Drosophila melanogaster: one gene and its partners. The protein of the gene in region 4 interacts with the protein of the main gene of each other region in a pairwise test. Each region holds a gene or a part of one and is shown on either strand. Other genes may lie near its edges. The genes, in order: CG5466, gukh, CG14818 and fws.

What was found.
Region 1: the proteins of fws (region 4) and CG5466 interact in a two-hybrid assay, tested with the Drosophila melanogaster proteins (one large-scale study listed by BioGRID).
Region 2: the proteins of fws (region 4) and gukh interact in a two-hybrid assay, tested with the Drosophila melanogaster proteins (one large-scale study listed by BioGRID).
Region 3: the proteins of fws (region 4) and CG14818 interact in a two-hybrid assay, tested with the Drosophila melanogaster proteins (one large-scale study listed by BioGRID).

The regions. Positions count from the first base shown.
Region 1 is NT_033777.3:20,613,247-20,621,769, reverse strand, and holds CG5466 (uncharacterized protein), read right to left. Parts: upstream 3,888-8,523; 5' UTR 3,680-3,887; coding exon 3,668-3,679; intron 3,556-3,667; coding exon 3,263-3,555; intron 3,207-3,262; coding exon 2,142-3,206; intron 1,909-2,141; coding exon 1,688-1,908; intron 1,609-1,687; coding exon 1,415-1,608; 3' UTR 501-1,414; downstream 1-500. Other genes in the region: CG15923 (uncharacterized protein), read left to right, coding at 4,926-5,190, 6,019-6,977, 7,046-8,223, 8,282-8,450.
Region 2 is NT_033777.3:18,980,749-18,988,452, reverse strand, and holds the start of gukh (GUK-holder), read right to left. Parts: upstream 4,429-7,704; 5' UTR 3,948-4,428; coding exon 3,338-3,947; intron 1-3,337. Other genes in the region: snRNP-U1-C (small ribonucleoprotein particle U1 subunit C), read left to right, coding at 4,913-5,350; dnk (deoxyribonucleoside kinase), read right to left, coding at 5,996-6,145, 6,203-6,473, 6,550-6,881; Smu1 spliceosomal factor, read left to right, coding at 7,608-7,633, 7,702-7,704.
Region 3 is NC_004354.4:1,878,519-1,884,686, forward strand, and holds CG14818 (uncharacterized protein), read right to left. Parts: upstream 1,257-6,168; 5' UTR 1,138-1,256; intron 1,063-1,137; exon of another isoform or gene 1,041-1,062; 5' UTR 973-1,040; coding exon 894-972; intron 833-893; coding exon 621-832; 3' UTR 501-620; downstream 1-500. Other genes in the region: CG14805 (uncharacterized protein), read left to right, coding at 1-486; Coa8 (cytochrome c oxidase assembly factor 8), read left to right, coding at 2,055-2,105, 2,165-2,428, 2,502-2,717; trr (trithorax-related), read right to left, coding at 3,638-3,730, 3,801-3,983, 4,038-4,167, 4,224-4,819, 4,899-5,423, 5,489-6,168.
Region 4 is NT_033779.5:17,474,817-17,482,716, forward strand, and holds fws (four way stop), read right to left. Parts: upstream 6,214-7,900; 5' UTR 6,153-6,213; exon of another isoform or gene 6,104-6,152; 5' UTR 6,086-6,103; coding exon 5,480-6,085; intron 5,427-5,479; coding exon 4,356-5,426; intron 4,298-4,355; coding exon 3,719-4,297; 3' UTR 3,626-3,718; downstream 1-3,625. Other genes in the region: cass (cassowary), read right to left, coding at 772-1,026, 1,094-1,280, 1,343-1,545, 1,601-1,801, 1,877-2,410, 2,583-2,744, 2,833-2,901; Lamtor3 (late endosomal/lysosomal adaptor, MAPK and MTOR activator 3), read left to right, coding at 6,518-6,561, 6,640-6,970; GCS2beta (glucosidase 2 beta subunit), read right to left, coding at 7,631-7,900. UniProt on the Drosophila melanogaster protein: Required for normal Golgi function and necessary during spermatogenesis. Required for cleavage furrow ingression during cytokinesis in dividing spermatocytes and for the extensive polarized cell growth that accompanies spermatid elongation.

The DNA of each region.
Region 1 (8,523 bases), on a different chromosome or scaffold from region 4:
AAAAAGAATTGTGTTCTTTGAACTACATCTATTTGGTAAAAATCCTAAATCCTATATTTTTACAATTCAAGTCAAATAAGATTACGAATTCTGGCAATTAGCGATAGTTATCAATGCTTAAAAGCACAATCTTTAGCGAACGATTTTTAAAATAGTAACGGTTTTAAATATGAAATAAAATAAACAACTAAAATCACAATCGGGACAGTTTATAAAACGTAATAAATGGTCGCTTTTTATAGCAATTGTTCAACTCAACTTTAATTTCAGGATTGAAATTGGAAAACTTTGCAACCGAAAACATGCTTTTAAAAATGTTTGATTAAAACAATGTTGTATTTTCACTAATTTATGCTGTTTCCAAAATATATTAATTAAATTTCTAGCACCTGAGATTATTAATTTGGAATACCTGTAGGGTTTTAAAGATTTTCAAGGCGAAAGTTTAAGGATATGACTTAAAGCAGTTAATAATGTTACATTGAAAAGTTCTTCTTTGTCGTAGAATAAAATATTTATTTATTATTAAGTCCAGAAGTTAAACATTAAGCGATAATATGGTATGTTACGATAAATTCCCACACATCAGCTAGGTAAATACTTATGGTTGCAGGTGTCTTTTTATTGCGTATAATACTGTTTGCTCGTTTATCGAATTTCTGGTAATGGTGAGCTCGGGCGGGTTAAAATATATATTTAAATAGCCCTTGCATGCGGAGTACAACCCTTCTTCAGCTTCTTAAATTTAAACACAACTCGTAATGTCGCTTTCGCCACCGCGGCCATCCGCCAATTGTTATTCAGATACTCTGAAGTCCTAATGCAAAATATAATGTAAGTCTTACGCGTCTATCATGTCCGATTATCAGTAGGTTAGTTTAAGTATAGGCTACATTCGAGTTGCTTTTGATATGGGCGAAAAGTCGTCGATTGCACGAGAACGGCTAAGAATATATGCTTAGTAGATATTGCACAAAGTAAAAAGTAAGACATTACAACAGAGGGCACACAACGTAATAAATTAAATTTAGTTTTGTCTTCCGTTTGCCAACATAATTCAAATATCACAGACGTTTTGCCAATTGTTTAACTAATTTGCCGATTTGCTTCATAATTTTGCATGCCAAACTGGAAAACAAAGAGTGATGGGAATCAAATTCAAGCCGCGGGATTCGATACATATGTATGCCTAAAGGTCAGTCAAATGTGGAAAATGTGAAATCAAGTCTTGTGTTGAACATGGCACGTAATTGCTAAAAGGAAAACTGGAGCCACGCCTACGAGGGTAAATTGCTATGCCTATCATCTATGCTTTTCTCTGCGTGTAAGTACTAAGTGTTCTCTAACTGCTGGAAGAATGTGAGTGGATAAATCCGGAGCTATTGCATGCTACCCGATGAGCTCCAGCCCGCATCTAGTGCATGTTGCCCGATGGCAGACCCAAGGCGGCGCCCAGGTTAAGTCCTGCAGGGACACCCACTCCTACTCCCGCGCTCACTCCTGATCCCACGTTGCCCTCGCTCTCACTTTTCCAGGACGACACGGGTATGTGAGGAGCTGGGAGGCAGTTGCGCAGCGTCTGCACGATCTGAATGGTGTCCATGAGGGCTGTCGGGGAAGAGAACGAGCAAGCAGGAGGCGGTCAGCATCGCAGATAGCGAAACCGGTTCCCAGCCAAGGTACTCACTTTTCTGCAGACTCTCACTCTGCTTGCCGTAGGGCTTGCACATCGAGGGACGTATGTAGGTTTTCATCCGCGACATGTTTCGCATCAGCTCCGCAAAGATGCGCACTATCTTGTCCTGACCCACGGCCAAGTGATCCATTCGATTGGCATCGCCGGTGGCCCAGGCTCCGTTGTGCAGCGCCAGCAGATCCTTATTCGATTCTATTGAGTCCAGATTGGAACTGAAATCGGAAAAGTTAAATGAATTCAATTAAGGGCCTAAAGCAAACATTTAAAAGTGATCAATTTACTTTACATATAGCAAATAATAAATAATATTGTAAACAACCTAATTCGTTACTTATCAAATACATACAATATTTTTTGTTTGTTTTAATAAAAAAATAAGTCTTTGTACACATGTTTTGCCAAGAAAAAGAATTTAAAATAATAATATCTAATAAATCTCACCCACCGCAAGGAGTCGGCGACGTTCTTGTGGGTAATCTGGTCCAACGAGGAATGAGAGGAAGACGAAGAGGATGAGTGTGGCGACTGCGATGGCGGTGGCAAGGGATGGTGTCCGTGATGGGCCTGCGGGCCGGCTGCAGCTCCTCCTGCAGCAGATGTAGTCGTAGCCGCCGGAGTCTGCTGATTGGCGGCGACGGCGGCAGCCACTGCCTGCGATTGCATCAGGCCTTGGATTTGAAGATTGGCGGCTGCAGCCGCAACGGCCATGGGATCAAAGTGCTTTGGATCCAGCTGGGCGAAAACTCGCTGCTTTTCCAGCGGACTGAGGTGGTTGCTAAGCTTCTCTAAATTTTGCTGGGCGAGGACACGGTTTTGCTGTTGGATGAGGGCAGCAGTCAATTGCTGCTGGTGCTTGGCTGCTGCTTGCTGTTGTTGTTGCTGCTGCTGCTGCTGTTGCTGTTGTTGCTGCTGTTGTTGTTGTTGATGATGAGCGGCGGCAGCACTGATCTGGGAGAGCTGCGTCTGGAGAGTGCTCTGCTGCTGCTTGGTCAGGTGCTGCAACTGCGGCGGCACCGGCACCTGGGGCACCTTCGCGCCCGTCGACTTGGACAGATCGATTTCCACGTTCGCCGAACTCGAGCTGCTTGCCACGCTGGAGGTGGATCCGGCTGCGGAGCCTCCTGGCCCAGATCCGGCTGCTCCCCCAGGCGGCAGATGCGCCAAGCGCTGCAGGAACTCGGGAGTGTTTACGCCCGGATACTGCTGCTCCATGAACGGCATGGGCGAAATTCCCATGTGGTTTTTATAGTAGCGACATGCGGGACTTGGGCAGGACTGCACCACCTCGATGATGAACTCTTTCTCCATGCCGAACTGATCCCGACCGATGGTGTACGACTCAATGACTGCCCTCACCGTGGCATCGACACTAAGGTGCAGGCCGTGCGGACCTGACATGTGCTTTAGCATGACCGCATTGGCAAAATGCTCAAAGGGCAAGACAATCTTTCCATTGTCGCGCAGTATTAGCCGTCCCTGGGAGTCCAGGGTTAAGCGGTTGGCCAGGACTCTGCAAACGAGGAAGTTATGAGAACGGATCTGAAAAAACCCACAACCCCTACTTACTGCAGATAGGCGGCGCTGGGCAGCATGGCATTGTCCTTGAGATCGCTGAAGCACTGCAGCAGCTCAGCACTGGGATTCCAGCCTTTGTTCTGCAGATACAGCTGCAGCAGCATGTACAGCTTTTCCGTAACATAGCCCACTCCTGGCATTCCAGCATTTGGCTGCGGCAGCATATCTCCGCCTGCCACGCCCCCGCCACCGGCACCACCACCGGGTCCTTTGGACAGAGCCGCCTTCATGGTCTCAGACAGATCCAATTTGTAGTTATCAGGATAGAAATGCTTGGAGTGCTCCTGCAAGGATCGCAGTGATTAGTTCACACAATCGGAAACAGAGACACCCAAGATCTGAGCTTGAAATCGAGCCCTGCTACCTCCACTGCCACCGCCGTCACCGCCCACTTACCAAATTGTTCATTTTCGTCTGGGACTGCGAATATCTAATCTGTGCGGCGCCAGTGCAGCATCCTGGATTCGAATGACCAACGGTTGCTGTCGGGAATCACTCGTCGGTCGGGGGACGAGACTGGGCTAACTGGCGGCCACGGATCGGGGGAAAAAAACTGTATGTGTCCGCCGCCTAATTGTGTTGTCCTTGCAAGGAAGAAGTGGGGGAGGCCATCAGTGTGACCGTCGCACGTCGCGGCCAAAAGCTCTAAAAACGACAGACAGCTTTATGCCCGACTTTCATATACATAAGCAAATAATTTAACATTTGTTGGCGTATAAACATAAACATAAACATTGTTAATGCGCTTAAAAATTTACTTAAGGCATATAGATATTTTTTTGCAACTGTTTAAGATTTGATTAGTACAGCCAATAGTCTTAGCTTTCGCAGAGCTCAAATTCTAATGCATCTAACTGCCAAATATTCTTTTTTAAGCTAATAAAAAAGTGTGCTTGAAATCTATTTGTTTTTTAAATACAAATATAATGATTAGTATGAGCTTATATTATATTATATCCTATAGCTACCACATTAAAAAAGTTATATTTTAGAAGTGAATTGAAAAAATAAATAATATAGGAAAATAATTGTAAAAGCGATTTAGCTTATTATACAATCTGAATTATTTATTTTTATTTTTTATTTATTATTATCTTACTAATTTAATTTTTGCAAAAACCATTCAAACCCATTTAAAAACGTAGAAGTGCAAAAGAATTGACTATACAAATGGTCTCTTTAGAGAGAATAATTAATTAAGTAACCCAACAAATAATTCCTTTACGTAGGATTTAATTTCTAAAATAGTCCTTGCTAATTTACATACCTACAAATTGTATGCAAAATCCTAAGAAAGTAACTAATAATGATGGCAATCACAATTTTGAGCACGCAAGTGCTGGAATATGAAAGGAAACCCAGCAGGTAAAAAGTCTCGAGGACTCATTACACTTAAGGTGGCCTCCTGGTCAAAGGACATTCGGCCGAGAGGGAGTAAGCACCTGAGCCAACCCTCCGGATAATGGCCATTTTGCATGCGTGCCCGGCGAAAATCGGGGGGTTGGGTAGCTATAGCAACACCACTCCCTCCACGAGTCCACTTGTTTACTTGCCTTCCTGGGCGACTTCCAAATTGCAGCTGCAATCGCTCCAGGGAATTCAGTACCCTTTCGAATATTGAAGAGCGAGCAGCGACTCCTAAAATCAGAACAGGATGAGGATGAGGATGAGGTGCTTCTCCCGGGCTATCAACTGGTGTTGTGCTCTTTTCTGGATCGCCTTACAAATTCCAGTGCCCATCTGCTCGCTGACCACCGCGGCCACAAATCCCTCGCAGCTGCCAACGCCGCACACTTTTCGCTTCCAGAATCCGACGCAGTGCCTCAAGAACGAGTTCTACAACCTCAACCTATTCGACTGTGTGCCCTGCAATGAGGTCGCCGGCGGAGATGGGGTTCAAGGAAAACTGCAACCCGACAGTGAGTGGTAGTATTGATCAAACAGAACCAAAAGGGGTGCCATGTGAAGGGGCAAGGACCTGCATGCTACTCAAGAGAAAGTATTCATTTTCAGCTGCAAAAGAGCTGTAATATTGTATATACCAAATTTAATATTCGGTTATTTAAACATTTTATTGGTTTAAGGTTTTGTCATTGAAAGCGACAAGGCTTTTTGCGATTAATATATTTTTTATAGGTCACAGACCTCGAATACTTAAGATTTATTCACATCAGTATTTGTCACTTAGCACAATTTGCAAACTTCACACAAATTTTATTTTGACGATCTCGAAGAGGAAATACTATAATCAAACAATTTTTAATATTAATATATTAATATATTTTTAATATTTCGAACTAATATAAATTAAACTATTGGTATTCTTAATAGATTTCCTCAACGATTTCCTGTTGTTTGATTTAATAAGTAAAGTATTTGTAATCAGTTATTTAAAATATGTATAAATAGTGCAGATAATAAGGACATTGTTGTGTAAGAAAACTAAAACTCGTTTTAGGGGTATTTATACAAAAAAAAAACAAGATAAACTTTTTAGTTTCGCTTTGAATTGAATTGAAAGTTGTATACTGTTTTTATATATATAATATCTTAAAATGATTGATAATTGTGACAAAATGAATAGATTAGTTTATATACATTTTCAATCCTTGATCATATGATAGATCTATGAATATAGGATATGCATTCGTATGGTTAGAAGAAAGTTTTACTATGTTACTGAAATAAAAGCTTCTTGTTTATTGCCCACCCAGAATTCACCTGCTTCTTGTTTATTGCCCACCCAGAATTCACCTGCAAGTGCCCGGCTGGTCATCTGTCCATCTATGAGCGCGGCAAGACGTGGCCCACCTGCGATGAGATTTGCACTCCGGACAGGAGCGACAATTGCACTTCGGTGTGGCTACCCCAGCCTCGACCTACCAATCAGTGCAGCTATCGGTATCTGAACTCCACGGCAGCCTTCGCCAGTCAGTTGCCAGTGCATCCACTCATTTCCGGCATCATACTGACCCATACAAATCCGATGAGCAGAGCGGGAGATTGCCATTCCTGCGATATGACGCACAATTTCCGGTATCAGGACTTCTGCTTGGCTAGCACCCTGCTCCGACCGTATGTGCACTACAACGCCTTCTGGCAGGCGACAACCACGCCGGATTCAAGTGCACCCAGCCGCTTTGGTGAGCTCAAGTTTGTGGCCTTCTTTTGCCTGACACTGCGCAACGATACCGCCTGCCAGCAACTGGCCAATCTGTGCGTGCTTTCCCATTTCTCCCTGGAAAAGCACTCGCCCTGCAGCGCCTTCCTGCTTACCCAGGTCTCTGATGTGGTCATGAAGTATGCCCACTCCGGCGAACAGGTGCGATCCCTGCAGCCGTTCCTGTTCTACAAGAAGGGTCGGGCTACCAAGGAGCTGCTTTCGAAGACGCTTCAGCTGCCGGATCGCAAGGAGCTGCGCCTTTTTAGCACCACATTTGGTCTAGATGGCGGACTCAAACGGTGGGGTGCCTTTCATCCGGAGATGCTGAACATGTGCCAACAGAAGGCGCCTAGCCTCCGAGTGGCTCTACCCAAGAGGGAGTCGGAGGTATCTTGTCAGCTGACCCTAGAGCGTCTCATTGACCTGGCCAACCAACGGCACAACGCCGAGTTTCTCACCGTGTTTCTAAACTTCAGTAGTAACTGGCAGTATTTGCTTCACCAGTTACCTGTACTCATCGAGACCCTGACGCCGGAAAACCAGGTGAGGAGTGTGATGTACTCAATTAGATAGAACTTAATCTCAGTTCCGTAATTTCTTCATCTGTCCAGCGACCCCAGCAGGAGGAGTGGCAGTTGGTGAAACGTTTCCAGCTGATCTCCGCCTCGCCGCGGGATAGTCATCTTCACCAGACCATGCCGCGCTACGAGGATGCCCACAAGCTGCAGCAATATTACTCCTTACGATATGTGGAGGACATCGAAATTCGTTATACGCTGGACAAGGATCAGCCGGATAGAGTGGGTCTGCCGCTCATTCGCCTGCGATACCGACACATAGAGATGGGATCGGGAAATATATCGCTCTCCCAACTGTACCCATTCACCCTGAGGATTAGCTACGACCAAGTAAAACGTGGTTGGGATTGGTTGATCTTGGAGGTGGCGCTGCCGCTGCTCCTTTTGCTGGCCTTTGCAGCTGCTGTCTTCCGTCTCCAGAATTTGAGAAGAAGGCGGAAGGCGGACCTCTGTCAGATGAGCAGTCTTATGGAATTTCTCCTGCAGCTGGCCGGAAATGTGGCATATGCTCTGCTGGCGACTACTCTGCTGCTCCTACTGCTGCAAGCCTCCAATTCTCGCCTACTGAAAATCCTACTCAATACCGCCTTTGTGCTGCAGTTCCTCTTTCTGGGCATCCACCTGTGGCGCTCCAGCCAGCTGGAACTGTTTCTCATCGACTGGGAAAGACCGCGGAGCAGCTGCGAAGGACAACGCCTGAATCTGGACAGCTCATCTCTCTGCTCTAGCGTGCGCACCTTTGTGGCCGAGAGCAGCGTCTCCGCCTGGCGAGTTCTCTTCACGGCCAATGCCTGGATTCGCCTAAGTGTCACCCAGAAGTACTCCACCTTGGGTCAGGTATTTGTGGTCATCGCTGGCTATCAGTTTCTGGAGAGGTTTACCAAGGGTGACATTTTTCTACGTTGCTGCCTTATAGCGGCAGCTTATCTGCTCACATATCTACTTCAGATAATAGGCCACCAACTGTTTATAGCCAATCCCCTCCAGAAGTTCATCGACCTGTGCAGTCTGGCCAACATCTCTCTGTTCTCACTGACGGAGCCAGGATTTGGTTACTACATCCACGGACGATCTCCGCACGGCTTTGCCGATACGGATATGTCCTCGATGATTTTGCAGCTGCAGAGAACCCAGACCATGTGTGGGCGACGAGGATTGCTAATGGACTCGGACAAGCAGGCGTACGTCATCCTGCCTCCCAGAAACCTTCAGTAAGATTTTGACTTTACTCCAATGAGGATATTGATTATCATAGTGTTTTTACTATAGCATCTACCTGGAGCGACTCCTGCTTCCCTTTCAGCGCAGTCTGACCGGCACCCTTTCGCAGACCATGCTCTACCAAAAGGACATCGTTCCGAGCATCGATGGACAGATGGAACGTACCTCCATTGCGTACGCCAGCGTCAATCGCTTCTTCTGCGCCTTTATCGACCATGTAAGCTTAAAGTCTACCTTAATTGATCCATTGAAGTATGTAACCAGTTAATATGGCCTAGTCGATCAAGCCG
Region 2 (7,704 bases), on a different chromosome or scaffold from region 4:
GCGCTTTAAGTGAGAGAAAAATGTTGGGAAAATAAACAAGAGGAGCCCAGTCAGAATTTCAGACGCAGCGATGGCAAAACCAACCGCAGTTGAGTGGATTGAATTGGCCCCAAAATGGGGAGAAAAAAAGGGGAGCCCCGGGCAAAGTTTGACTGCAACAATCAAATGCTCATCAGCGCACTTGAAAAATAATGCGTGGCTGGCTAAGACAAAAACGAAGTACATTCTCGCGGGCAGACAAAGACATATAGACCTATAGATACTGTATCTCTGGATACCAGCAGCTTGTATCTTTCATTCTTTCATTTTTTTTTCGGACTGTGTAGTCGAGGCATTTTCATAGCTGGCTGTATTTTTCGTTGGCTTGTTTGTTTAGTTTTTGAGGCACACTCACACCCATATACACACGCAATGCTGCAGGTGGGAACAGGTTTTTCGGTTTCGGCTTTTCGTGTATCTCTCGGATGCGGGCCGTATCTTTTTGGCCTCGCGTTATTTATGCCCCACTGTGGCTGTAATTACAAATGCTCGTTTCCTGCTGAAGACAATCTGGCCATGTGTGCGCCTGTGTGACTGGGCATCTATGTAGTATCTTAGTATCTCAGTTTCGTCCGGGATGCCCACGCACATGTGTCCTCCGTCCGGGATCAAGTTTCCAGTGACCACTGAGCCGACTGGAGTGTCCGAAGTGGGCAAGTGCGTAAGTGGACAGCGGCATTTGCGCTCTTCAAAGGGCCTCCTTTTTACGAAAAGCGCCTGCTGGGCCCGAACAATTCGCCGGTTGTCCATGCCGCTCACGTACTTCCAACTATATTTTATTTCGTTTCCCCTGCAACATGTTGTGGCCCGGCAATATGGCCGATTGATTGGCAGATATAGTTAGTAGTTCATTGGCGGTAGTTGGCCATGGTTACTACCCGTAGGCCCGCAGCAGTAACAGCCGGAGAACGAATGGGAATTACCCTCGGCAAATGCTTCGCACGCTTGGCTGCACTAGCCCAAAAAAAGAGGCACTTTTCCGAGTGGTGGTTAGCTCGGCAGTCGCCGCAAATGGCGCGATGTAATGGCATTTCTAATATGAGCACATTAATGGCTGCGGGACAAAGGAACAGGTGAGGGGAATCGAAGTGGAGTGGCGTGGAGTGTCCACTCCTTCCGAGGCAATTGCAAATTTCAAAATTAACAACCCACAGTTAAGGTGAAATTAATAGCTGTGCCAGGGTTTCTTTGTTACCTCAATAATAACTACGCATATGGTTTTTATTATGCCAGTTGAGTTGGGTTTTTTGAAACATTATAACAATCGAAAAGTTTTACTTGCTTGTGTCACATTTTTAGATAAATTTAATGATACCATTTAAGTATTAGAAGCAATTTTATGTGCTCGCCCGTTTTGAAGGCTATCTATCACCTGGGCGCATATTTTTAGATAACCATGACATGTAAAATAAAATAATTGAACACAAGTCTAAGAAGAAAAGTGTCTATCCTTGATAATTTATTTTTAAAATGTTGTTTGCGAAATACTCAAAGAGCAATTGTATTTAACAACAATAGACAAAGGGAAAGAGACGCCTAACTACAGAATATATACATATGTATTTATTATTAAACTATACTTTAAGAATATTGATAACTATATTAGTGCCATTATCATAATACAAAATTTTTAAGGTCATATAAAAATCCACATACATTGTGGATTATGTTTCCAATTTTTGTGGAGATTCGCAGTACTTAATGAGCCTAAAACTATTATTATTGCTATTTTTGTGCCCTCAGCTGTACGCGCATATGTAGAAGACCGAGTGTGGTGCTCTTGTTTTTCCTGGGCTTCATACCTGAGCAATTAGTGCGACGTTTTCGATTGCGCATGCAGTAGCCCAAAGAGCAGCAGCTGCTGTTTTCGTGTTATTTTTTCTGGGTTTTTGCTCTCCTCGGGCAGCTGACAAGGAGCCAAAAGCCAGCGGCAGAGGGGCTGGCGTAAACAAAGTGAGCTCTTGCAAAATGACAGCTGACAATGGGATCGTACGCCACGTCGAGCTCCGCGCACAGCCCAAGTCTGCAGCCAAGTGCACAATAATAATGGCAACAAAACAATATCAAGTCGGAGTGAAAAAGCTGCAGTCAGCGTCGTCGCCAGTCTGCCGTTGAGATTTCATAAAGTTATTGAACGTTTTTCAAGCGAAAAACAAAATTCGGATTGCAAGCAGAAAACAAAAATGTAAAGGCGATAAAGTGCCGAGCGAAGCAAAGTGCTAAAATGCGGATAGACGAGAAAATATATTCGGATTTGGGCATATCACGAAGTTTGACAGCCACTGCGGATAACCTGTTGCTGTTGCAACTAGAACAACAGCAACAACAACTGCAGCACTTGCCACATAAATGGCCATTCGTGTTGGGAAGGTATTTAACACAAGGTCGCGAAAACAATGAGCCAAACGACTTTAGACCGCTTATCTAAGTGCTCGTAGCTCGTTGGTAATTGTAGAAGCCTCTGCTGGACGCGGGCAAGAAGCTAATTGCATGAACACAGGCCACCCAGCCCCACCCAGTCCCACCCACCCACTCACACTCTGCATGATGGAATAATGGCAGGATGGGCAAAGGGGCAATCGGGCGATCGGAGTGGAGCCCCAAACAGCGGAGGCGACAAAGTAAACAAGGTGTTAATTTCCACTGGTTCGGTATTCCCTCGGTTTCTTTTCACCGAGATGCTCAGAAAAAGGGTATTCCCAGGGTATGGCGATTTCAGGAGGAGTTTAATATACATGTGTATATATTATGATTATATTTTAGTATTGCTTGCAATCAAATTAAATAGTAAGTCCAGCGCTAGTAAATATCATTTAAATTCTTAGAACACAATAAATATGTTTATTAATTTTAACTTTTTCAAAAACAGAAAAGGAAACAATAAAATCAATTGTTTTAGAAAATATTAAAATATTAATCTAATATGTTAATATGCGTCTGTTTCTAATTAGCCCCAGTGAAAAAACTTTGCTATAGGGTATAGCGAGACCTGCTCCCCAATTCCCCCACTGACTTATTTTTGCTTCTCCTCCCTTTTGCGCCTTTGCAAATTGAATTCCCCGCGTGTTGCGAAAGCAGATAAGATTGGAGCACGTTCTCCGCCAAACACAGCCACCCACACAGAAGCTACTCCACGCATACAAAGCGGCAGATGACGGGCGATAAGCTGTCCGTGATAACGCACTTGACTTTGAGCGCGAATCGTGTGAGGAATACACACACACACATTGGGGGAGCTCCCACTTATGTAGATCCTAGCTAGAATTGAATAGGGCATAAGATGAATGGGTCTACTTACGAACTGTGACCGTTTTCGGATCGTAGGCACAGACGCGTCGCTCCACGGCGGCAATCTTCCGCTGCACACGACCCGCCCGCTCGCCCACCGCCTGCAGATCCCGCTGCAGGTCGTCGAAGATATCGCTGGCTATGAGGACCAAGCTGGCCAGCTGCCGCAGGGCGTTGCTCAGCGTTATGTTGCTGATCGAGTCGAACTCGTGGCCGGAGACCACCTTGGAGGAGCCGGCAGTGGGCGACTGCGGTGCACTGGCGATCCTTCCAAGCGCCGGCCTCTGCTGGCTGGGATGCCGCGAATTGGGCAGGGATTGCGACTGATGGCGAGTGGGCGAGGTGGACAGGAACTCGACGTGGTGCTTTAGCTTCTTCATGGGCGCCGGAGCGGGCGGTACGGGTTGATCCTCCGGCGCCTGGTGAACCAGAACCCTGGTAAGGGATGTGGGTGATCCGTGGCCATTGGGGACCTCTACATCCGGCGACTGCTTGTTAATGCAGTTGTTGTTCCGGCACTTGCCCGGCGTGCAGTGGAATCGTCCGGATGCGTGGCCCAAACTGGCCGCCGTGGCCTGGGCCACATTGACGGGCTGCACCACGCGCTGGACGAAGGGCATCTCTCGCTGGCTCTCGCACTCTTGATCTCTCTGGCGGCCACTAGCTGCTCCAACTCATTCGCTCCGCTTCGAAGGCACCGGCCAACATAAAATAAAAGGTAATCCAAGTAATCCCGACACACACACACACACACGAGCACACGGGCACCGAAAACTGGTCGGACAACTTCTGGACTTGAATCCTCCGCAGTCGCAGCCTCCTAGCTATTGTCTACTACTTTCGGCCAAATTCCTTGGCCTTTTCACACGCACTCACAAACTAGTTTAAATCAACTGGTTTATTGCTGCCCCCCAAATTTTTGTGGCTAGTTCTCAGCCTTGCATAATTAGCGCGCCGCACTCGAATTGCCCGTGGTTGTGGCGATTTTAATGGCCCGGCCACCGTTACGCGTCGTTCGAAAGGTGTGTTAGCCGGCAAAATTACAAAAACCGACCGTCCGCGCTGACGTCTTCGTATTTCGCCGGTTTCAAAATAACTGCCAGTGTGCCCAATACATGGCAAGGGCAGTGAAGTCGCAGATAAATCATCTGCCCGTGTGACCGTTCGTCCAAGCTGCTTGAGTATGTCACCGACTAGGGTTCAAAACTCTGCTTAGCTTAGTCAGGACACACTGCACACACTAACAGTGTGTTACCTGCTGTAACACTTAACAGTGCACAGTGGGCATTCAACACAAAACATTAATATATAATGCATGATTTATATTTATTTTTATGTTGTATCTGTTTGAATATATAAATAAATATAAAATGCAAGCTGACAAACCCAAATCAAATATCTCCATGAGTTTCAAGCTGAATGTTGCTGTTAAACATATCGATATACACAGCGGCAGAGTTGCCAGACAGCAGCATGTCTCAGTAGCTTATCACCCTTGTCGAAATACGGTCATACGACTGCGAAAAATAATAAATAAAACTACAGTGAACCGAATTTCCTTAGCTAAGATAAATAAATTAGTGCAATGCCAAAGTACTATTGCGACTACTGCGACACCTACTTGACCCACGACTCGCCCTCGGTGCGGAAAACCCACTGCACCGGCCGCAAGCATCGCGACAATGTAAAGTTCTACTACCAAAAGTGGATGGAGGAACAGGCGCAGCATTTGATTGACGCCACTACCGCCGCCTTCAAAGCGGGCAAGATCACGAACAATCCGTTTGCCGGCGGGCCAGGAGGAGCGCCTCCCAAGCCGGCGGGCGTGTCCATTCCGCCGCCCAACATGGGGGCTCCTCCGCGTCCGGGAATGCCTGGAATGCCCTATATGCCTCCACTGATGAACCCCATGATGGGCATGCGTCCGCCACCGATTATGAATCCCATGGCCATGATGGGACCACCGCCTCCACTGGGCACTATACCCGGCGTCCGTCCAGGAATCATGAACGGACCCAAGTGAACGCCCTCAGGAACGGCATCAACGTTCACAGCACAGATGGAGTGCTCTCCTTGCGATGTCCTAATTAAGCTGTAGCATTTAAGTAAGCCCGATAGCGAAAACAATTAATTATATACATTTATATAAAGCAAGTTGACTCAACAAATGGTTGTCTTTGTGGGTGGAAGTCAATAGAGAAATAAAGTATATATATTTAGGTCAGTAATGAGAAGCGCATGCAGTCACATTAGAGTTCAGCAGGCATAAGATCACGCCGCTTTTACGGTGCACACATTATTATGACTTTAAAAAACCCCGCTTCAGAAAAAGATAACAAAAATCAATGCTAGAGAAGGCATTTAATGATTTCATTGTCCAACACAATATAGTTAAAATGCAAGTGAACTGAAATGCTAACACAAAAATAGTAGGTGCCTTGCCTTTAACATAAACATTCACAGTTTTTATTACAATATTTTGAGCTTACATACTAGTTGCTGTGAAGAGAATATAATGTGGATTATAATTGTTAATATACGAATGTGTTAATCATTGGCTCGAAGTGTAAGTTTCTGCCTTTGTCCCGCGAATCGGCTCGTCTAGGCCTCTTATAATATTATTTTAAACGTCTGTACTACACACAATTAGGTACTAATGGGATAATGGTTATCTGGCGACCCTCTGGCGCTTGCTGGGCGACACCAGAACCGGCGAGGGCTGTTGGTTACTTGAGATGGCGTCGAATATGCTGCTCTCCGAGCGCTGGTACTCGGTGCCAATGTTTTCCAGGTTCAGATCGGCATCGAGGACTAGGACCTGAGGAAAAATGCATATTTAGCGGCTTCGGTAGATGTGAGCTTGTGTAGAAACTACCTTGCACGACTGCGGTCGTCTCTGGTGTATCAACCAGTCCTCGTGCAACTCATGCAGCTCCTGAAGGTACTTAAGCGGCACGCAGCTCTCCTCAGAACGAGCCCGCTGCCGGATGCGTTCGTACGCCACCTCCGGCGAGGTGCGCAGATATATGATGAGGTCCGCCTGCACGTGAATGGACTCTTCGATGAACTTGTACCACTCCTCCAGCGTATTGTACATGCCCTGCTCCAGCGAGCCGTTTCGTCGCATGTTCTCCACGAAGCAATAGCTGCGGCGCGATGGGTAATGGATAAGTTTCGTTTAGCGTTTCTGGTCAAACCGGACGACGGGAATAATGCACTCACCGAGCGCTAAAAATGGAGCGCTCCATTATTTTTAGCTTCTTGTTGGTTGGGGCGGTGTGCGACTGCAGCATGGTCAGCGTGACATAACTCTGAAAGGGCATGGCCCACTTCTTGGGATCTTTGTACATCAGCTCCAGCAGATTTACCCCGTTGACGTTGCGCCACTTCTCGACGGGCTCGGTCAGCAGGCAAATGTCGTTCTTGTACTTCTCGAAGTGGTTCAAATACGTGGTCTTCCCGCTGCCGATGTTGCCCTCGATGAGGACGGTGAAGGGCTGGGTGCCCTCGGCGTACTTGGTCCCCTTTCGGGCACAGGATGCTGCCTCCGCCATCAGTCCGGATAATCGGCGATCTGCACGTGAGATTGGGAGTTTTACTAACTGTTTTAGGTACAGCACAGCAGCAACGGATCGCGGTTGAAGTTGATTGTTCCGGATTCGATGGAGTACTGTACACGGCGGCGGGAATATGGTGACTGATTCAACCCGCCTGGTCAGATCGTTTACCGCCGAAAAACAAAAAGAGCGGGAACATCGCCATTTGTTTCTTTTTTTTTTAATCGGTGTTACCTATCGTTATGCTTGTTTTTGTCAACCGGCTGATCGGTAACTGTGTGTGTGTGTGTGTGTGTGTCTATTCTATTGCCGGTAATGTTTTTACATACATCTTTACAAAAACTTAAAGTTTAAGCCAATGCTGGTTGAATTACCTATTAATGATATAATGTTTTTCTGCCACATGTGCTTGCTGGACATTGCTGTTTTTACAAATTTATTAAATACAAATACCACTGATAGCAATAAAATTAAACATTTATTGCTCACAACTTTTATGGCCTCTTATTTATTTTATTTAACGTTGTGAAATGAATTTTCTTTTTGCCTATACTGAGAATCAGCTGTCGGCGATAACGATAACGGTCAGCTGTTCTGTGCATAGTATCTGTTTTTCGCCATCCCTACGACGACGCATTTTTTATCAATATTATTGTACATTTTTATAAACCTGTATTAAAACTTATTTTTAAAAGGAATCTTAAACCGGGAAATTAGTTTACGATGTCCATAGAAATCGAATCAGCGGAGTAAGTACTGTAAATCGACCAACACCACTCAGTTTTTACTAGATCCGTGATTTCCCCCCCAAACAAAGTGT
Region 3 (6,168 bases), on a different chromosome or scaffold from region 4:
CTAAAGCGAATGATTAGTCCGTGGGATGAGAATGACTGTATCGAGCTCTTCGATCCGGACTACTCCGGGGGACGCAAGACACCGGAGCTGGACTACACCCAAAGTCATCCGGGTACGGATGAGGAGATAATACTCAAACTTATAGCGTCCATGAGTTCGGGAAAGAACGAGGACGACGAAGGAATTGAGGCGGAAACCAAAGCTACAGATGTCGAGGATTCCGAGGTCGAAGAAGAAGAACCTGAATCCGAGCCAATGGAAACCGCCTCCAAGGAAGCTGAGTCCGAAAAATCGTATGCAGAATATCAGCCAGACTCAGCACAGACAAGCGACGAAAGAGTGCAAGAGCTGCAGGCCGAGAATGCGCGCCTCAAAGCGCAGTCAATGCGCTTGTTCCAGATAGCTTTCAAGTATATTACTAGCGATACCAATGGCCAGGCTGAAATCACAGAGAAGACAAAGCGCAAGAAAGCGCGGAAGACATAGTGAACCTTAAGCTTGCTTTCAATTACGTTTACTTAGGACTTAGGACAAAAATACATGATAATAGAAAAAAAACAGCACTGATTGTGCCTAAAAACGATTTGGATGAACAAAACAATAACTTCTCGTAGAGGGATCTACTTGGGTGCCGCTTCGCTGCCCGCCTGCCCGTCCATGTTGTCATCTCCCGATTCGGGAGCGTTGTCATTTTCCTCGGCAATCAGGCGACGGATCTCTCGGTTGGAGTTCAGCAGCTCCCGTAGTTGGGACATAATGTCGTCTGTGCGCTGCTCCACGGCGTCCAGGGCACAGCTGAGAGCGTCCAGACTGTTGTTCACGTCCTCCATCTCTGTAGGGGTCATTCCATTAGAGCCAATCCCGAGCAGAAACGGGGCGCTGTCAAAACTCACCTTGGAGGTCCGCCTCCTGGACATTGGTGTTGCCAGAGTCGCCGGACGACGAGGGATCATGATTGTTTTTGGGTGACATTTTCCCTGGAATTTTCCCCGGAGTTTTTCCGTTTGTTTTTTCCAGTTGGATTTATTGTCACGGGATAGCTATAAACGATAGAGGTGGTTAGAAGAGAACGATAGGTCTCAGTTCAAATACGATATAAAAAAAAAAACTTAATAGGGGAATTCAGTACATACGTACGTTTTTGTAATTACGAAAACACTTTTTAGCTCAAAACACTAGGCGAACATAATCCACTGCAAAAGTCCAAAGCTAAGTTTCCACTTAGTTTTTAGGGATGTGCCCGTGCCTCGTTTTATTTTTACGTACCAATGGAATAGCATGGGAAATTTTGGCTTATTCGCATATGTCGTGCCTAATTCGTGACACGAACAATGAAACAAATGGTTTACGTATCTCTAGGCGTTGACTGGACTTAATCGAACGGTTCTTTCCCATAGTGCTTAATGTTGATTGGCCAGAGTTGACCCCTTCTGACAATGAACGGCTGTTTAATTTCTCAGAGCGATCAGCGGTCGTACTCCAACGTTTTCTGTTCGCCTGGTGTCTACAGTCGATAATCTTGCCCATTTTGACCGAAATAATTTTGAAGCATCGAATTGCGACAGTAGATTTCTTGTTGCAATCATGAGGCGAGCATAATAAACAGAAAGTGTACTAGCCTCTGTTTCTACGTTGTTTTTAGAGATGTGCATGTATATCGTTTTATTTTCACAACGCAAGCAAATTACTAGGGATTTTGGTATTTGCTCGAGCATGACGTGCCGATTGCGTGTCACGAACAGGGAAACAAGAGGGGTTCACATCTCTTCTGATACTCTTGCTTAAGCTTTGGTCTAACTGTTCACAAGGCTGCATTCCTATTGGTTCAATTGCGACTGGAAACATGCAATATGCGACCATTTTGGAAAAAGAAACTGTTTCTTGATTTTGTCGACATGTATCAGCTGGCTGGCTACTGGCTACTGGTTTCTGAACTCCAGATATTCAGTCGAGAATCGCATGCGAATGCCCGTAATATTTGCTGGCATCAATATTTAATCTGTTGCCTAGCGTGACAGTCGGCCACACTGCACCTCACATAACATAACCGAAAAATGAACAAATGTTTTAGGTGCCAGCCCCGGATATCGCTTTTCCAGTTCAGCGTGAGTCCATGAGTGTGTTGCCTTATAGGATTCGGATTTTCAATTTCTTGTTTACACAGCTACCGCGGTGCTATGCCGCAGTGCAGCCGGGATGTCCACCGCCACAAGAAAAACCCGTCGTCGGTTTGCCACACAAGCCCGATCCCAAGACGGTGAAGTGCGACTATATAGGACCGCCAGACGCGCAATCAAACCTACGTCCGTACGTACGGCACTACGGCGATGAGGAGACGCGGCTGGCAAGAAGCCTGCGTCTTAAGCGGATCGAGGTGGAGGCATGGAACACGGACTTCTGGACAAAACACAATAAGCGCTTCTACGAGGTACAACCACGACCACTGTGCCATCTCTTTCTAGTCCGCTAATGTCGTCTCTTTCGAATTGGTTCGTTTACAGGAAAAGGAAGACTTCATCCGCCTGCACAAGGAAAGCGGAACCAGCGAAGTGTCCGCGGACCAGATGAGCCACTTCTACAAAGCGTTCCTCGACAAGAACTGGCGCATCCACATCATGTACAACATCTCCTGGTACCTGAAGAACTTCGACATACTCACCCTGGCTGCCGCAGTCCAGCTCCAGAGGCTTCTGGCGCTGGCCAAGCGAAGATCTTAGGTGCAATATCTGTCGTCCCCATTTCGTAATTTCCAGTTTGCCGTTTGCAATAAGTTGGAATAAAAGATCACGTGCGTAAAATGGTGGCATAAAATTTACTTAGCTACTATTTAAGGGGATGAAAAATACACGTTGTTCGGAGTTAGTTAATGTACTTAAAAGTAATCGCAAACTATTTAAATAAAATAAAATAGAAGTAGGTGTTCATATCCTTATCAGTGTATATATTCAAAGAAGGTTGCGCACGATACACGCAGCGAAAGAAGGATCGCTCCCCATGTAAAGTGGCCGAATATTGAAAGATAACCGCTACAATTATGATAATAATAATAATGGTAAACAGAGGGGAAGGCACACACGCATAAAGTCAAGTTTTGGGTTGGCCATCGGGGCGGTCAGTTTCCTCGCGATAATTGCAATGGTGGTAGTGATGAATGTGGAGATGGTGCTAAAACAAATAAAATTAGGTGCTCCAGCGACTGTGTGAGGAGAGGGGGTCCGAAATACATTACAGGGGTGGTCGTGTCCTAGCAGTAACATTTATATTCTTTCTATGTAGAAACGATAGCAATTATTCAATTTAAACTATGAAGACACTCTCCACTTTTGCACTTAAGAGCGATATAAAGGATACGAATTGGCTACAGTGGGCACATATACAAAACTTACAAGGTCATATGCTCTCCACGAGCATATCTGCATATAGCATATAAACTATATATATATAAATATATATATATATATATATATATATATATAAATGTACACGAACTATAATGCTTAGCGAATCTAGCTACTTGATCAGATACAAGTCCTGTTCCTGTTCCTGTCTCTACTCCTGTTCCTGTTCACTGGGAGCGACGTGCTCGCCGCCGCTTCTTGCGCTTCCTTTGGTCCTCCGCTAGAGGCTCCTCCCGACTCTAGTTCATCCACTTGCGACAGTTGGGCGCTCCACAGGCGCACGGTATCTTGTGCGACTCGTCCTCAATGTCGAACTTGTAGTCGTACGAGAGCTAAAGCACAGAATTTAAGAGATATTGTGAGTTAAGGTACAGGCGAAACACTTCTATTTGCGGGACCCACCTCCTCGCCGCGATAGATCTTCCGCTTGGCGAATATTATGATCCGCACGTCGCGATCGACCTCCACTATCTCGGTAACACAGTTGGGATTGCACGAATGGTTGATGTAGCGCGCCAACCCGCCGCTTAGAGTGGCGTCCACCACGCGGTCTTCATCCAGCCGGAACATGTAGATGCCACGGTTCTGGGGAATCAGAGATTAGTCAAAGTTACAAGAAAACATGGTCGCGAAACCCACCTTGGACTCGTACTGCTTCTCGCGTATCTCGGAGACCTCGGTGCGGATAACCTCGCCAATGTACTCGATTATCATGGTGTGCTTTTCAATGTCCCGAGCTGCATACAAGCCAAGACCCTGGATCTTAGATCTAGAAAATGAGAGCTTAAGTAATCAGTGGTTATTGACTAGGACCTAATGTCTCACCTCGCCAAGTAGACGTTGTTGCGCCACTCCTGCTTCATCTTTTTGTACTGGGAGCTCTTCGAATGCACGAACTGCTTGCTGTACGGGCAGGCCACTTCTCCGGCAATCGCAGCCGAGTTGGCCATCCGCTGCGTGCTGCAGCTGCCGGCCGTGCGTTGCGTATGCGGCTTCCTCCAGACGAGCAGCTGTCGTTGCTTGGGTTCCGTACGCGCCGCTCCAGACGGATTGATGGCTAGCGGGAACTCAAGAAGCGGGTTGCGACCGTACTTGAAGCGGTAGTCAGTGAGCGTCTCAATGCCCGGGAGGCTTTCCAGGATTCGCACAATGGCCGGTTCCGTTAGGCCAAATAGGTCCTCACCACTGATGTGCTGGGGAAAGAGCTGCAACCACTTGTGCACCTTACGCAGTCGCGTGATTGGCTGCAGAATCTGCTGCCAGACCGCCGAGGGCGAACTGCCCCGAAACTCGCGCTCCGGCTCCTTGTCGCCGGCGTCCTGCACCTGGATGCGAAACTCGGGCTTGCATCCGGCCTCTGCGATACTGCAAATGTATCGACACCTACGATTGGGTCGTCGCACGCACCAGTAGTAGCGACTCTATGGGGGAGGAAGAGGAACGGGATTTAAGATTGCTGTTCATAAACATGGCGGCCGACCGGCTGGTACTTGTACTTACCACCTTGTAGCCAATGGGGTAGATGTAGTGGGGTGTGTGGAAGGCCTCCAGCTGATGCGGCAGTAACTGACCCACGTTCAGGAACGTCATGTTGCCCACACGGAGCAGGTTGCTTAGCTCTGAATAGTGCATGACGGTGGCCACCTGACGGTTTTCATCCCGATCGACAAAAACTCTCCGGTGGACAACCAGGGAGCTCAGTTCATTATCTGCCACAGAGCCTCCTAATCCGGCGCCAGTCGTGGCGCCTGCTCCTGCACCCATCGTGATGCCGGCATGAGCATGACCATGAACGCTGCAGTGCACGGACTTGTTCTTGTAAAAGACGCACTCCTCGCGAATGGCGCATGGCAGGTGGTACAGGCTGTTGCAGCGCGACTTGAAACACTTGATGGTGGCGCCTGGTTGGTGACAAGCGCTACACGCCTGGCTCAGTCCCGCTTGCAGAGCTGTCTGGAAGTTCATCAGCGCCCCAGACACCGTCTCGTACACGCCGTTGGACCACAGGGCGCAGTTAAGGTGAACCTGTATGTGAAAGTGTACATTAAGCTGTGATGCAATCAATCATTAGGGTTACACTTTCTACTTACCCATTTATCCACATCGAAGTTAAGCAGTCGCGAGGGTCCATCTGCCTGGCCGTCACCACGCTGATTGCAGAAGACACACTGCCGCGTGTCCTCCAACTGCAGCCCACTGGTCTCTGTTTCCCACACAGTATTATTGACCGGTCCAGCCCCAGTTCCGGCACCAGCAGTTCCGTCGAGCTCCAGTCCGGATGGCGCCGAGTCCGTGGTGAAGCAATCAGCACTAAAACACTTCACAATGCATTTGCGCTGTGCGGGGATATTTGTGGGGTTGCCCGGTACGCTCGGCGTTTTCTCATCCTCGTCCTCCGGTTCTTGTTTGACCACCATTTCCGCTGGGGCAGTTGAGCTGGCGCAGAAGCTGCCAGGCGAGTCTCCGTTGGATGATTTTACAGCAGAACCGCCGGCTGGCTGAAGCAGCAGACTAGCCGCCTCCGCCTGGCCATCCTTTCCATTCCACTTGAATCTCGCAAAGCAGGCGCGATCGCAGAAGTACACAAAAGGAGGGGGAACCGATTTTCTTGGCAGCATGTCCATCAGTTGAGCCAACCGGGGGAGTTGCTCTTCTAGGGCAGGAACACTGTGCCGAGGAACTCGCAGCCCAGTGGCGTGAACCACATTTCCGCAGCTGCGGCAGAGCTTACGACGCCCGTTGAGGATCTTCCTCAGATGACCGTGACTCA
Region 4 (7,900 bases):
TATTTTTCTAGTTGCCCGTCGTTAACAAAATTAAACAAGTATATCACACAGTGCATGTAATTTAATGTTGCTTTTATTGAATTCAAGAAATGTATGCTAGGGGTTTTTTTTTTGCTGATTTGCATCTCTAAATGGTACAATTGTTAATTTGATATTACATGTCAAATAAAAACTAATGGGTTTAAAACAAATGCCGATCTGTCGCAAACAGTTTGTCGCTTGAAAATCATTATCTTCAAAGCGGTCAACTTGAAAGTAGGTTTTATATTGATATTCGTTCACTTGGTTATTGGTATAATCTTATATTTATGCGTTTGACAGAATTGAAGGTAAAAACAGGAGTGATATAAATTTCAAACAATGCCAGCGCCTTTCTTTTGGGAAATGTATGAAAAGAAGGCGTGGCGTGTTTTGGAAAATTGCACAAGTACTTTAGCGAAAACAAATGTTATAACGAAAATAATAAAAGCAATGCGTGAGTGTATGAGTAAAATGGATGTAAAAATGTTGCATTTAATTTCCATGAAAATATGTTGCGCTGAAAGGAGACAAAGGGGAGAAAGTTAAATGAAAATTGCACGGAATACTCACCACTTTCGTTTTGTTTCCTTTAAAATTGCTTGGCTGCAGCATCGCAACAGTTGTGTTTATTCTGCTCGCATCCAATATCTTGTTTTTGTTTTTTTTTTTTTTGTATGTCTACGGACTAGGGACAAACCATTCAAGTGAAGTGTTCTTTGCTGCTCTTCTGCCTCACGATTGATTCTTTACTTAGTACTTGTTGAATCGCCTGTTTCTGTAGCCTCCACCGCTGCCGCCACCGCCGCCGCCGCCACGTTGTCTCGTGCGATTGTTGTTTCCGTAGCTCTGGTTGACCTTGTTGGAGTATTTTCCAGATGGCGGCGAGTAAAACTTCTGATCGTTGGATGGCCGCGATTTCTTCTCTGGCTCCTGATCCTTATCCTTGCCGTTAGCAGCGGCTTTCTCCCCAAAAGTGATGGGTGCATGACGCTTGCCCAGCTTGTTCTGAACGCACAAGAATATTGCATTGTTTATAAATATATCAGCTGTAAGAGATAACTTGTGTGCTTACATTTTTTGGCACAATCCAGGAGAGCACAATGTCATGTTTGAATATGGGCGGTGAATGAAATAGATCCCGGATCAGAATGTTGATGTTTGATGTCGTCTTCAGTGCCGTCTGCTTCAGTTGGTTCTCCTCCGTTTTGAGCTCCTCTCCCGTCTTGCCTTTGAGCGACTCCTCCAGTTTCTTAATATAACTACAAGGCAAGTATTATAAAATAAATTATGTAAACAGAATAAAATTTTTGCAAGAACCTACCCCTGTGTTCCCCTTGCAAGATATTGCAATCTAGCTCGAAAGTCTTTTAGTTTCTCTGCATCCTCGACGAAACTTAAACTATTTGGATGATTTTTTCCAAGAGTGTGCAATGCGTACAGTAAGCACTCGGCGTGCGAAAACTGAAACGAGGGCGGTGTATCTCCCAGATCCTCGTCACTCAGCTTTGGCAAAGGCATGTATTCCTGGAAATTGTTTACATGTTATTCGCTCAATTTCGAATGTACCAAGTACACTTACCAGCAATACATTGTAGACTGCATTAATCCGTTCGCTGGCATTGTCCAGCTTGTCTGTGTTGGTTATCATCTCGGCGAATACCTTTAGTAATCTAAGTTGGATTTGATCTTGCGAAACTGCAGTGGCGATCATGTTCCAGGTCTTGATGGGCAACAGTTTATCGCAAACGTGAGCCACGAAGGCCGTGGATTTGATGGTTTTCTATAGGAATGGCAAGAGATTCGATTTAAATGCTCGCCAGGGGTTCGATTTCATGTGCAGCTATTGGAAACTTACCGAAAAGTAAGGAGCCGCAGCAGAGGCGCACTGAATGAATCGCTCCACCACCTCGTCGTCGACGGCTATGATGTCCGCGTCTGTGTTATTTAGCTCCGCCTGCTCCGTGGCCAGCTTGACGAGCTCGGCGTGTCCCGTGATGGTGCTTCCCAGTTTGGTGGCTCCCAGAATTGTCATGCACAGATGAAACTCATCGGCAGTGACATCCTGCAAAGCCTTTTTGATCTCCTCCACGATATAGTCCTCGATTTCCTTGGTAATAACTGTGGGACCCATGGTCAGCAGCTTGGTGGCAATGAACTTGAGGCAGCGCTCCCTTGTCGTTTCATCCCCAGTGGAGATTTGCTGAAACAATCCGGCGATGGAGCTCTTGGTGTCCAATTTTATGATGGCCAGCAGTGAGTTGTTGACCTGCTGGAGTTCTGTGGGATCGTCCAGGATTAACAGCTGGGCCAGAGTATCACCCACTCGGATGGTAGCATCTGCGTTTCCCTGGCACAGTTTCGGCAGATCTTTGATGGCCTGGCGGCGGATCTACAAGGATGATAAAGATATTTAGTTTGTGGAATATGTGGGATATCTTAAGCTGTCAAGATACGGAGCAGGATTACAGGGGATTTCGATTTATTTACACACATCAGCTGCATACAGGCCAAAAATTCCGAGCCTATTGTATCAGCTGGGTAACTTTATGGCACCCACTCACCTGTGTGTCGTCATCCTCGCACAAATCAAACTGCGCGTCTATGGCTGTGTCGGCCAAATCCGGAAAGTGTTTGAAGAAGTTACCAATGAACTGCGATGCCAGGCGCTTCTCCTTCGACGTGCCCTTCACGGCCTTGAGTATCTCTTTATATTCATCCACATGCTGCAATTCGAAAAAAACATGCATATATATATTAGACCATGTATCATATACCGTTTTTTTTTCGGCACGTTTTGCAATGGCGGCATACTTCGGATATTTTATCGCCCGCCTCGGACAGAATCTCGTAGCATTTGTACAGTCGCTCTATGTTGTCCATCTTCTTGGCCAGTGGTACGCACTATATTTGCAGAGGTTTCAAGCGTCTATAGTTTACTTTACACAGTTTTCGTTGCAGTTAAATTGGATGACAGCGTTTCTCAAATGAGAGTTTTTCACGTTGCAAACAAAATGGTGAGCACGGGGGAGTGACCAGATCTCGAGACAGTAAAAACCCAGATGGATATCGATATACCGTTGGGAAAAATTTGTACTACCGTTATTCAGAATACACATCGATAGTTAGAACAAGTTATTAGTACCGTTATTCTGAATACGCATCGATAGTTTAAAAAAGTTATTACTACCGTTGTTTTGAATGCCTATTTCAAATCGATATAAATGTGAAAAATATATAAATACCGATATTCCGGAGGAACTATTTCCAAACGATGTAGTGATATATTTTTATTTGAAATCCTCTTAATGTTAATGACGAATAAGTAAGAATTATTCTTTTAATACGAAACATCTTCCAAAATGTGTCTTTTGAGTAAGTACCAGTATCATTTATATTAACCATGGAATTCCATTTATTCATATAGCGCCAGCCAAAACTGCCTACCAAAATTAATTTAATCAAATGACAATATGACACAACCTCGCATAATTTCAATTTTAAGCCTCTAGCCTCAAGTTCTCACTGCTATCATTATTCCACTCAATAAGTTATTCTAAGAAACTCATTAGCTTCATTTAGCGGAAGGAACTGAGTACAATGATTTAATAGAAGGATGCCATGCATATGTTTATTCCAAACATATTCGTGCTCTTACATACATACATACATAGTTCTAGATACATAATACATTAGACATTTATGGAAGTGCCTTTAAGGCCTGTTCAAAATAATCTACCATCATGGGGTAAACTTCGTCGTACTGCTGAATGTTCTTTCGCCTGGCATTGTCCCGATACCGTTGCAGTGCCCCCGAGATCAGCTCTAGTTTCTCCCGTTCAGCCGTGTGCCCATCCAGCCATTCGATCAGCCGCTCATTGGACCAGTTGGCCGTCGTGTGTGGCGACTGCAGATCTGCTCCAGCGTGTCCGAAGAGCAGCAACAGCACTATGTAACTGGGCACTAGAGAGTCCTCGCCGATTGTCTGCTTGACCAGCTCCTCGGCCGTTTGGACGATCAGCAAGGACATGGCTCTTAGCAGACGCGACGGCTTTCCCAGCTCGGCGAGATTTGGGCAAAGAGGTTTCAACGCCTGTTCCATGTGTTGACAGTCTTGCTTCAAACGCTGCCTTCCGCAGGAGCTTAAAGGTCGCAGAATGCACACATTGTGCAGGAAGAGCTCAATGCAACGTTTGGCCAACTCGTGTCCGCACTTTTTCGTCATCTGCTTGTCATCGAACAGGGCGATGTGATGCGACCAGGATCGGTTGACGAACTCCTAATAGTTTGATTGAGACATATGACTAGCCAAGTATTACATTCAAATTCCCACCCACCTGCAGTTCCTTCATGTACATCGACGGACCTGTGGTAGACATCCTCTCCGAATTCAATCCCGGCTCCCTGTGCATACTCAATACAATGATGCTAATGGTCGTGATAATCGACTCCATTATCTGCTGTAGAATGGTGCCGATCAGTAAATCAGCCTGTTCCAAGGATCGGGATATAATCTCCCTAGCTGTTCCCGGTGTCTTTTCAAAGTGCACATGAAGATCACTGAGCATGCGACGCACTGAATCCTTATAGTAGAACAGAACATTCGCCAGCTGGGTGTTTTGCTGCTGCTGCAGATTGGGCAGATCCACGACCTGCTTGGAATCAGCTCCCAGCTTGATTTGAGCCTCTAGTTTTGTGCACAACTCTTTTCCACAGGCCGCAAATACATTTGCTATGGCATTCGTGAGACGGGAATCGATCAAAGCAGCACTGAGCTCCGTTGATGCCACACGAATAAAGTTGTCCACCGTTTCGTTGCCGGGCAAATCGACTCCCGCCAGACATGCCTTAAAGTTGGCAGCACACTTGCTAACGTAACCCACTTCCAGGGGAGCAAATAGTTCGTTGTCAAACTGAAACTCGCCATGCAGACGCTGCTCCAAGCCACGAGCGGAGGTCAGGAGCTTTGAGAGCCCCTCCTGAAGGGTCTGCGTAACATGCTGGGGGCATTCGTCAAAGGATTTTCGCAGGAGCTGCTGCACCTGCTGCCAAAAACGCTGCGGAATGCACTGATCCGATGATTCTGATGTATAGCCAAACTGGTTGATCTGCTCGAGAGCCGTTTTCAGCAGCTTGATTTGCGTGCAAGTCTCAAAAAGTTCATCATAGAGCAGCCAATGAAGAGACTTCCAGAACTTGGCACGGAAGTTTTGAGTGGTTGTCAACTGGGGAGTTTTTCCTGGTCCCCTCGAGGGAGCAGGTTTGCTCACATTGTGCGTCGGGGACTTGTTCAGCACAGATATATCGTTGCCAGCAAAGCACTCTTTCAGAGATTGCTCCATGTCGGCAATAAAGGTGGCCAATAGGTTATCCAGCGATTTTTCCAGCGTATTGAAATTCATAAAGATCTAAGGAATAAGAACTCTTAGGTATATGCTAGAAAAATGTTTGTTATATCCACCTTCAAGGCATTAACCACTTGGTTTTCATTGCGCTCCTGGAGCCCAGTGACCAACTGCATCTGCGTGAGGTTCCTTATCTTCTGAGCAGAGCTGATCACATAAGCTCGCTCCTGCTGGATAAAATCAATGTCCTTTAGCTCCTTATCTTCGATGAGTTGGCCCAACTCAAAGTGGATTTCGGCCAGGCGTAGGACATCCTTGGTCGCTTTTAGTTTGGCCGTGAGGCTCAGCAATGTTCCAGCCGAGCGGAGTAGGTGACTGACATCGTGCAGACGCCCTAGCACTTGCGTTTGGTTCTCCACCTGCTGGTACTGCGTGTCCACCTGGTTCTTCAGCCGGTGCCCAGTTTCCCTGACCCGCTGCACATCCTCGGCGAGCGCGTTTAAAGCCGCATCGAAGCGCCCAGCGTGGGTGGCCTGCTGCAGTAGAGCTCCGTGCTTGTCGCGCACCTGCTGGTGCAGCTCCTCCTTCGTGTTCTGCAGTTGCTTGGACAGCTCCTGGATTTGCTGGCCAATGGTCAGGTGCGACATGGATGCGGTAAAGTCATTATCATCCGAATCCGCTGCGTTTGGGGTCTTTGTCGCTACCGGGTCTCCAGTCACCATGATGCAGAAGGTTTTAATCTATGGTAATACGAATTATAAGCTGGTATTACACTTTTATTTCCATTACTTGCAGCAATTTTACGTATTGCAAACAAACTGTTTTTCCACGCAACCAAAAACAGGCTGTAATCGATAAATTTCCAGTTGAGCGGGGATTGAATTTTTTGAAGGGGTTTCTAAAAAACTATATAAAGTATTGCGTGATAGCTTAATAATATAATATTTAAATAATAATGTTAAAAACTAGCCGCATCCTTTTTCCGCTTGCTGAAAATATTTTACTTCGACCGCCGACTACGCCCCTGCCACATGAACTTATCGATAACTTGAGGCAGCTGTTGCTCACTTTGTTTTGTGTAAATAATTGGATGCGGAGAAAAACGTATTATTATTGCCATACCTTCTCTAGTCTTTCGCTTTAACAAATTTTCCATGTCGGACGACATCAAGAAGTATTTAGACGGCCTGCTGCAAAAGTAAATATTCCACAGGAAAGGCTGTTCCCAATATGATTAACTTATAATTTTTCCCCCATTCCCCGATTTACACAAAAGGGTCAGCGGGCTGTACGTTATTCAGATTACGGATCGCGACGGAGTGCCCCTCCTGCGGGTTAGCCAGGAGAAGAACGTGGACTTCGCCCTGATGCCCTCGTTCATACCCACATTCACCACCGCCTGCGATCAGGCCAGCAAACTGGGATTGGGCAGAAACAAGACCATCATCTCCATGTACTCCAATTACCAGGTGGTCCAGATGAACAAGCTGCCGCTCATCCTGACCTTTGTGGGCGCGGAGAACTGTAACACGGGACACATTCTCGCACTGGAGCACCAGGTCGATGGCTATTTGGAGGACATTAAACAGGCTGTCACCGAGGCCTAAAGTTAGTCTACCTTGTAATATGCATATTTTTAATATTTACTAAATGTTTATACATACATACTTTATTGAGAACAGAATGAGTTTTTAAAAATCTCAACTCACCATTGTACTATTCCGGGAATTTATTTCATATCCTGCGAAGGGTGATCTCAAAGATGAACAAAGTTCCGAGTCCTCCGTTTTGGCAACAATATCAAATATGCAAACTATTGACACTTTATTTAAAATGAAAAATTCTTGCTGCCTAAAATGTGTACATTCAATTAAATTTCTTCATATAGTTTCTCAATTATAATATACTTTTCCCTATACCTTGAAATCGTCTGTGCTCAAGTATCACGAAAGTAAAATATTTGTATGTTTGAGCTCAAGGAAACCGACTTTAAATCAACATTTTCATTCAGTGATGTTATCTGTTTTAAAAATACTAGGTGTTTACACTTTATTCAGAATGAAACTTGATGTACTTTTTGCTTAAATGCATATACTGAGTTAATTAGCTACAATTCTTGATGGTTTTCCTGCTGCAGTTTGGGAATGATCTCGACAAAATTGATATTCTCCTTTAAAACTAAAATACAATCCCCAAATCTCTGGTCTACGCATGCCAAGCATTCACATTTCTCTGCGGCTCATCCTCATCGTCGATTGTTGAACATTTCAGAGTTCGTCGTGCAGATTCTCCGATTCGGACTGGAAAGCTTCGCTGTCGCAGGCGGCGGGAGTTTCGAATTCAAAGTAGTATTCACAGCGATTGGGCTCGCTGACGGCAGTGATTTTGGGTTCCAGGGCACAACTAATGTTGATGATGGCCGAACGGTTTGGACCATTCCAGCAGGCAGCACCATTGGTGTACTTTTGTTGGGAATATTGCTTTGGCTCTCCACTCCATTTGTCCCAGCGACCCAGCGTGGTTTCAGGCCCACCGCT